Macaca mulatta: one gene and its partner. The protein of the gene in region 1 purifies or fractionates together with the protein of each later gene. This does not show direct contact. Links are inferred from orthologs where the notes say so. Each region holds a gene or a part of one and is shown in the gene's direction. Other genes may lie near its edges. The genes, in order: MFAP1 and SF3B1.

The links.
Region 2: the proteins of MFAP1 (region 1) and SF3B1 purify together in Homo sapiens (co-immunoprecipitation; 3 studies listed by BioGRID and IntAct, with this or other methods). This does not show direct contact. The link is inferred for Macaca mulatta from reciprocal best matches to the Homo sapiens genes MFAP1 and SF3B1.

Annotation. Positions count from the first base shown.
Region 1 is NC_133412.1:21,198,342-21,202,163, reverse strand, and holds part of MFAP1 (microfibrillar-associated protein 1), read left to right. Parts: intron 1-1,723; coding exon 1,724-1,943; intron 1,944-3,822. UniProt on the Homo sapiens protein: Involved in pre-mRNA splicing as a component of the spliceosome.
Region 2 is NC_133417.1:102,334,156-102,337,977, reverse strand, and holds part of SF3B1 (splicing factor 3B subunit 1), read left to right. Parts: intron 1-53; exon of another isoform or gene 54-123; intron 124-510; coding exon 511-631; intron 632-974; coding exon 975-1,106; intron 1,107-3,644; coding exon 3,645-3,822. UniProt on the Homo sapiens protein: Component of the 17S U2 SnRNP complex of the spliceosome, a large ribonucleoprotein complex that removes introns from transcribed pre-mRNAs.

The DNA of each region.
Region 1 (3,822 bases):
AGTAGAGACGGAGTTTCACCGTGTTAGCCAGGATGGTCTCAATCTCCTGACCTCGTGATCCGCCCATCTCGGCCTCCCAAAGTGCTGGGATTACAGGCTTGAGCCACCGCGCCCAGCCTAATTTTTGTATTTTTAGTAGAGACGGGGTTTCGCCATGTTGGCCTGGCTGGTCTCGAACTCGTAGCCTCAACTGATCTGCCCATCTTGGCTTTCCAAAGTGCTGGGATTACAAGCATGAGCCACTGTGCCCAGCTATATATATTTTTGTGTTTGACACAGGTTCTCACTGTATCACTCAGGCTGAAGTGAGTGCCTTGCTGTGGTCACGGCTCGCCACAGCCTTAACCTCCTGGACTCTAGTGATTCTCCCACCTCAGCCTCCCATGTAGCTTGGGACCACAGGCATACACCACCATGCCCAGCTAATTTTTTTATTTTTAGTAAAGACAAGGTCTAACTTTGTTGCCCAGGCTGGTCTCGAACTCCTGGGTTTAAGCAGTCCTCCTGCCTCAACCTTCCAAAATGCTGGGATTACAGGCATGAGCCACCGCACCTGGCCCCCTCATTAATTTTCTAAGGTTAAACTATTCTTGTAGTCTTGAGCTAAATTCTAATAAGTTGTGTTGGCTTAGGGGTTTTTTGTTTCGGGTTTTTTTTTTTTGGTAGTTTTTATATCGCTGGGATAAATTTGCTCTTATTTAATATTTTTGTATTTGTGTTTGTAAGTGAAATCCACCTAAAGTTTTCCTTTGAACTGTCCAATTTGGTTATCAAGGTTATACTCATAAAATAAGTTGGTTAGTTTTCACTGTCTCTCTTTGTTCACTAGAATTGTTTATATTTGTAGGCTGGGTGCTATGACTCACGCCTGTAATCCCAGCACTTTGGGAGGCCGAGGTGGGCGGATCTTGAGGTCAGGAGATGGAAACCATCCTGGCTAACACGATGAAACTCCATCTCTACTAAAAATACAAATAATTAGCTGGGCATGGTGTAGCGCATGCCTTTAGTCCGAGCTACTCAGGAGGCTGAGGCAGGAGAATTACTTGAACCCAGGAGGCGGAGGTTGCAGTGAGCCGAGATCATACCACTGCACTCCAGCCTAGGCGACAGAGTGAGACTCCGTCTCAAAAAAAAAAAAAAAAAAGAATTGTATTTATAACAGATTACCTACTCTTGCAGGTTTGATAACACATAAGGTAAAGGAAAAGAAGGTAGAAATAAGTAAGATTAGAATATTGAGTCATGTGGTAATATGTTATAAAGGCTGCCGTGGAAATCCCAGAGGGAACTACAAGAATGCCTGAGCAGCATTTTAGTTTTATGTTCCTGCAGAAATCATCCTTACTATGTGGTGGGCACTGTTACAAATAATTTGTTTAAGGGTATAGTTGAGGTGGGATGCCATGAATTTGTGATGGATGCAGTCTGCCTTTTTGCGGGGGACTTTTTTCTACTGTTTCACTGCCTGCCTTCCTCCACTTCATTGTACTCAAGGTAAGCCTCATTATCATCAGTGTTGGCTTTCACAAGGAGGCAGTCTCGTGACTTGGCCTTTGTAGGAAAACACTATTAGATGAATAGATGGTTGGGTAGTGGCTCTTTTCTTCTCCTGCTTAGACTCTTGTCTACTATGAATAAAGGGTTCTATTTGCAAAGGCCATAATGGGATGAAGCACATTGAGAAACAGGCTACTGAAACATAGTTATTTTTCTCACCCAGGTGAGATTTCAATGGAAAAAGTGAAGGTAAAGCGTTATGTGTCCGGAAAGAGGCCAGACTATGCCCCTATGGAGTCCTCAGATGAGGAAGATGAAGAATTTCAGTTCATTAAGAAAGCCAAAGAACAAGAAGCAGAGCCTGAGGAACAGGAGGAGGATTCATCTAGTGACCCCCGGCTACGGCGTTTACAGAACCGTATTAGTGAAGATGTGGAAGAGAGGTAATGTCTGTGATTGTGTTTTACTTGAACATGAACCTCTACAGCTTAATAATAATAGCTAATACTTGAATAGTACTGCCAAGTAGCTGACATTTGCTAATTGTTGTAATCCATACAATAGCTTTATGAAATAGGTGCTATTATCCCCATTTCACAAAAGAGGAAACTAAGAGCACAAAGGGGCTAAGAAAGTTACATGACCAAAGTTACAAAGTGGCAGCTTCAGAAAACAGCAGGTTACTTCTGGCCTAAAGGACCTACTCAACTCCTTACGGGAATAGAAAACACAGACCATTCGTTGGCTGTTGAGGGGAGTCTTTTTAGCACAAAGATGTTTTATAAACTTTGGTAAATTGATTTTATACATCTGCTTATTCTAAATGCTAATAAGGGGAAATGACACTGAAGCAGGAGAAAAGACCTCATAAAGGTCTCATTGTAGAAAGTCTCCCAGTGAGGGATTTTGTATGTTATATACTGATTGAGACATTACCTTAATAGAGCAGACCAGGGGTCCTGAACTTTCACCGTTCATAATTGTCCCAGGGGTTTTTTCACAGAGCTCCTGGGCCAAAACAGTTCTGTTTATTTTAGTTAGTAAGTAGTTAGAGCCAAGTAACTTAATAAGTATTTATGTCCTAATAACTTTGCCACTTGAAAATTACAGTGCCCATGGCCGGGCGCAGTGGCTCACACCTGTAATCGTAGCACTTTGGGAGGCCGAGGCAGGTGGATCACGAGGTCAGGAGTTCAAGACCAGCCTGGCCAACTTGGTGAAACCCCATCTCAACTAAAAATACAAAAAAATTAGCCAGGCATGGCAGTGGGCACCTGTAATCCCAGCTACTTTGGGAGACTGAGGCAGAGAATTGCTTGAACTTGGCAGGCGGAGGTTGCAGTGAGCCGAGATCATGCCACTGCACTCCAGCCTGAGTGACAGAGTGAGACTCCGTCTCAAAAAAGAAAAAAGAAAAAATAAATAAAATTACAGTGCCCATGGGGAAAAAAACACTTTTATTCATTCTCACATAACCACAGTTACTAGTGGAATTTGTGTGCCTATTGGACACTGACAGCCTTGCAGACCTTGGAATCAGCACTGTCACTTTTTCATGTCTTGTTTTATATTGATATTCACACTGTACTTTTTACCACAGCAGCCACCAAAACCCAATTTCACGAAGATACGATATTCTCAAAAGGAATGTAATATGACTTAATGTTGAAACTGAATTACCTTGAGCTATTGAAAATATCCCAATGCAGGCCACGCTCGGTGGCTCACGCCTGTAATCCCAGCACTTTGGGAGGCCAAGGCAGGCGATCACCTGAGGTCAGGAGTTCAAGACTAGCCTGGCCAACATGACGAAACCCCCTCTCTAGTAAAAATACAAAAATTAGCCGGGTGTGGTGGTGCACGCCTGTAATCCCAGCTACTCAAGAGGCTGAGGCAGGGAGAATCGCTTGAACCTGGGAGGGGGAGGTTGTGGTGAGCCGAGATCACGCCATTGCTCTCCAGCCTGGGTAACAGAGTGAGATTCTGTCTCAAAAAAAAATCCCAATGCATCCCTATGAGTTTGCTGGCTTGCTGTGGTGCCTTAGGATGCCTCAACATACGTTTAGTATTTCAGGCCAAACTTGGCTATTTGCTCTGATATCCTAGTCTAGTTCCTTTAATCTGCACCTCAGTTTCCCCCACCTCAATACTTTAATATTGGATGGACATGGTGGCTCACATCTGTAATCCCAGCACTTTGAGAGGCTAAGGCGGGCAGATTGCCTAAGTCCAGGAGTTGAAGACCAGCCTGGGCAACATGGTAAAACCCCGTCTCTACAAAAAATACAAAAATTAGTCATGTGTGCTGGCATGCCTATAGTC
Region 2 (3,822 bases), on another chromosome or scaffold:
TCTAGTTAGAGCAAGAGCCCCTGCCAGCTGCCTCCTTTTTTCTCTCTTCATAGGTGTAAATACCATCCAAGTATGCCCTGCATTGCAGGGAGACTGGAGATCTGTTTGTTTTGCAGTTAAAGGGTAAGGGGGCCCTTTCTGGAAATTTTTGCTTTATTTACTTGTTTACCTCTGGCTTATATTGTTGTGTACGGCCGGAACATAAGCTGTCCCCATATTTAAATGTCAGTGCACAAATACATTTCAGAACCAAACAAAACTTTTTTGTTATTGAGTATCCATCATTCTTTAAATCACTTCACTGATTTCTTTCATTTCTATACATAATCAAAAATTGTTAATAAAAGTTAAAAACGATTCTGAGTCTGGTCAGAATCCGCGGCTTTCTCTTTCCATAGGCAGCTGTAAGTTTATATTTATGCATAGTCATATATAACGTTGCTAAGTAAAAGGAAAGTGAACAAAAGTTGCAATTCAGATGTTGATAGTTTATTGACTTCTATTAAATAGGTATGCATAAGATGACTCCACCAATTAAAGATCTGCTGCCTAGACTCACCCCCATCTTAAAGAACAGACATGAAAAAGTACAAGAGAATTGTATTGATCTTGTTGGGCGTATTGCTGACAGGTAAGCAGATTACCCACACATTTTTATAAGCAGTATCAATTTTCAAATTTGGCCACTTTGTATTCAATTAGCAAAATTTTCTTAATGTCACTAATATAAGTGTATATGATTAGGCTGTCTAGTATTAATATTTTCAGTCAAATTTCAATTTGGATGGTAATGGGGTGGCCATGTAATTTTAGGACTAAACCTGTAAGACTAACTCTTCAGCCTTTCTGAAGAGGAATAACTCTTATTTAATGCTTAAAATGAGTTAACAATCATGTTTTTAGAACTGAATTTGCAAATTTATCCTTAAAACTTTTCCTAATGTCACAAATAATATGTGTATTTTTTAAATTAGGGGAGCTGAATATGTGTCTGCAAGAGAGTGGATGAGGATTTGCTTTGAGCTTTTAGAGCTCTTAAAAGCCCACAAAAAGGCTATTCGTAGAGCCACAGTCAACACATTTGGTTATATTGCAAAGGCCATTGGGTGAGTGTCACTTACTTCCATTAAAAAAAAAAATTATAATAAATTCGTTGTGGTGTTGAAAAATACTTCATGTAGAAATCTCTTTTGAGGCATGGTCTGAATAATGCAGTTGAGAAAGCTCTTCATTTAACCATTGACCTTCTGATTTTTGGAATGTATTCTTAAATTCAATTTGTGTGTTTGTTTTTTTTTTGAGACGGAGTCTTGCTCTGTCACCCAGGCTGGAATGCAGTGATTTGATTTCAGCTCACTGCACCCACCACCACCTCCCGGGTTCAGGAGATTCTCCTGCCTCACCCTCCCCAGTAGCTGGGACTATAGGCATGCGCCATCACGCCCAGGTAATTTTTGTATTTTTTAGTACAGATGAGGTTTCACCATGTGGGCCAGGCTGTTCTCGAACTCCTGACCTCAAGTGAGCCACCTATCTTGGCCTCCAGAAGTGCTGAGATTACAGGCATGAGCCACCACACCCAGCCTGTAGTCTTAAATTCTTAATTGAATTAAAATAGATGGAAGGGTTTAAGATTTACTTTAATTATACTTTAGGTGTTTTCAGGGAGGGAAACAGTACCATTTTCAGAAAAATACAAAATGTGTACTGGTCTTTTAGGATATTGCTTAAACTATTAAGGCAAATTTTTAGTCTCACAGCATCATTTAAGTCTCATATTAATGCTTTATGTGTTTTAAAAGTTGTATTATGGATTGTTTGAGCTCAGGAGTTTAAGGTTACAGTGAGCTGTGATTGTGCCAGTGTACGAGACCCTGTCTCTAAAAAAAAACAACAAAAATGCTATTCTAACATTACTCCACGGATTTAACTGAATTATAGCTGCTTTGTGAGATAATCTATGGTTGTTTGCTTCCATTCCATCACAACTAAAGTAGGAAAAAAGTCATTATAGAAAACGAGACACGGCCGGGCGCGGTGGCTCAAGCCTGTAATCCCAGCACTTTGGGAGGCCGAGATGGGCGGATCACGAGGTCAGGAGATCGAGACCATCCTGGCTAACACGGTGAAACCCCGTCTCTACTAAGAAATACAAAAAATAGCCGGGCAAGGTGGCAGCGCCTGTAGTCCCAGCTACTCGGGAGGCTGAGGCCGGAGAATGACGTGAACCCGGGAGGCGGAGCTTGCAGTGAGCTGAGATCCGGCCACTGCACTCCAGCCTGGGCTACAGAGCGAGACTCCGTCTCAAAAAAAAAAAAAGAAAAGAAAACGAGACACCACATGTCCATGTGGCTTAAGAAAATGTGTTCAAGGAATATGACATGTGAACGTCTGATTAATTAGGTAGAATTAACCAGACCACACCCCCTCCCCTAACACACACTAATTTCTCTCCTATTTTGGTAGCATAATATTTATTTCAGTGGTGATGGAGTCAAGAAATTTGTAGTGAATAGCTGTCATGCAAGCTTTTAGCCCCAATGTCCCTCTAAGTTTATGTCAAAGAAGAGGCAAATAGATGCAGCAAATTGTGTGGGAGGGAAGATAAAAGAAAAGAGATTTTATGGCCGGGCGTGGTGGCTCACGCCTGTAATCCCAGCACTTTGGGAGGCCGAGGTGGGCGGATCACAAGGTCAGGAGATCGAGACCATGGTGAAACCCCGTCTCTACTAAAAATAGAAAAAATTAGCCGGGCGCAGGGGCGGGCGCCTGTAGTCCCAGCTACTCGGGAGGCTGAGGCAGGAGAATGGCGTGAACCCGGGAGGCGGAGCTTGCAGTGAGCCGAGATTGTGCCACTGCACTCCAGCCTGGGCGACAGAGCGAGACTCCGTCTCAAAAAAAAAAAAAGAAAGAAAAGAGATTTTATATGGTTTATAATGGGAGACCACAATTCAGATATTCCCCTCACCACTCCTACCTAGTTCTAGTGCCCATTTTGACAACTCAGAATTACTCACTTTAAACATTTAGTTAAATTTCTTTATATTTCAGAAAGTTTAAAAACTGAAAATTACATATGAAAATTAATTTGAGTTAACTTACTTTTTTTTTTTTTTGAGAAGGAGTGTCACTCTGTCACGCAGGCTGGAGTGCAATGGCATTGTCTCAGCTCACTGCAACCTCTGCCTCCCAGGTTCAAGTGGTTCTCCCACCTCAGCCTCCCAAGTAGCTGGGACTACAGGTGTGTGCCACCACACTCGGCTAATTTTTGTGTCTTTAGTAGAGACGGGGTTTCACTATGTTGGCCAGGTTGGTCTCGAACTCCTGACCTCGTGATCCGCCTGCCTCGGCCTCCCAGAGTGTTGGGATTGCAAGCGTGAGCCACTGCATCCGGCCAAAATTTTTAAAATTTGTACAGCTGTGACCTCTGATCTTCTCAGAGTTAACTTTTTAAAACTGACCTTTTAATTTATATGAAATTTTAATGTAGAAACAATGCCAGTGACTTGGAAGTATTGCGTTTTATAAAATTACTGAGTTCCCTGTAATTATTAATATTTAAAAGTTTTCATCTTTATGCATTTTTTCTTCCATAAATTTTTGACTTATAATGTAACAGCTTGTTGACCCATTTTTTTTTTCAGCCCTCATGATGTATTGGCTACACTTCTAAACAACCTCAAAGTTCAAGAAAGGCAGAACAGAGTTTGTACCACTGTAGCAATAGCTATTGTTGCGGAAACATGTTCACCCTTCACAGTACTCCCTGCCTTAATGAATGAATACAGAGTTCCTGAACTGAATGTTCAAAATGGAGTGTTA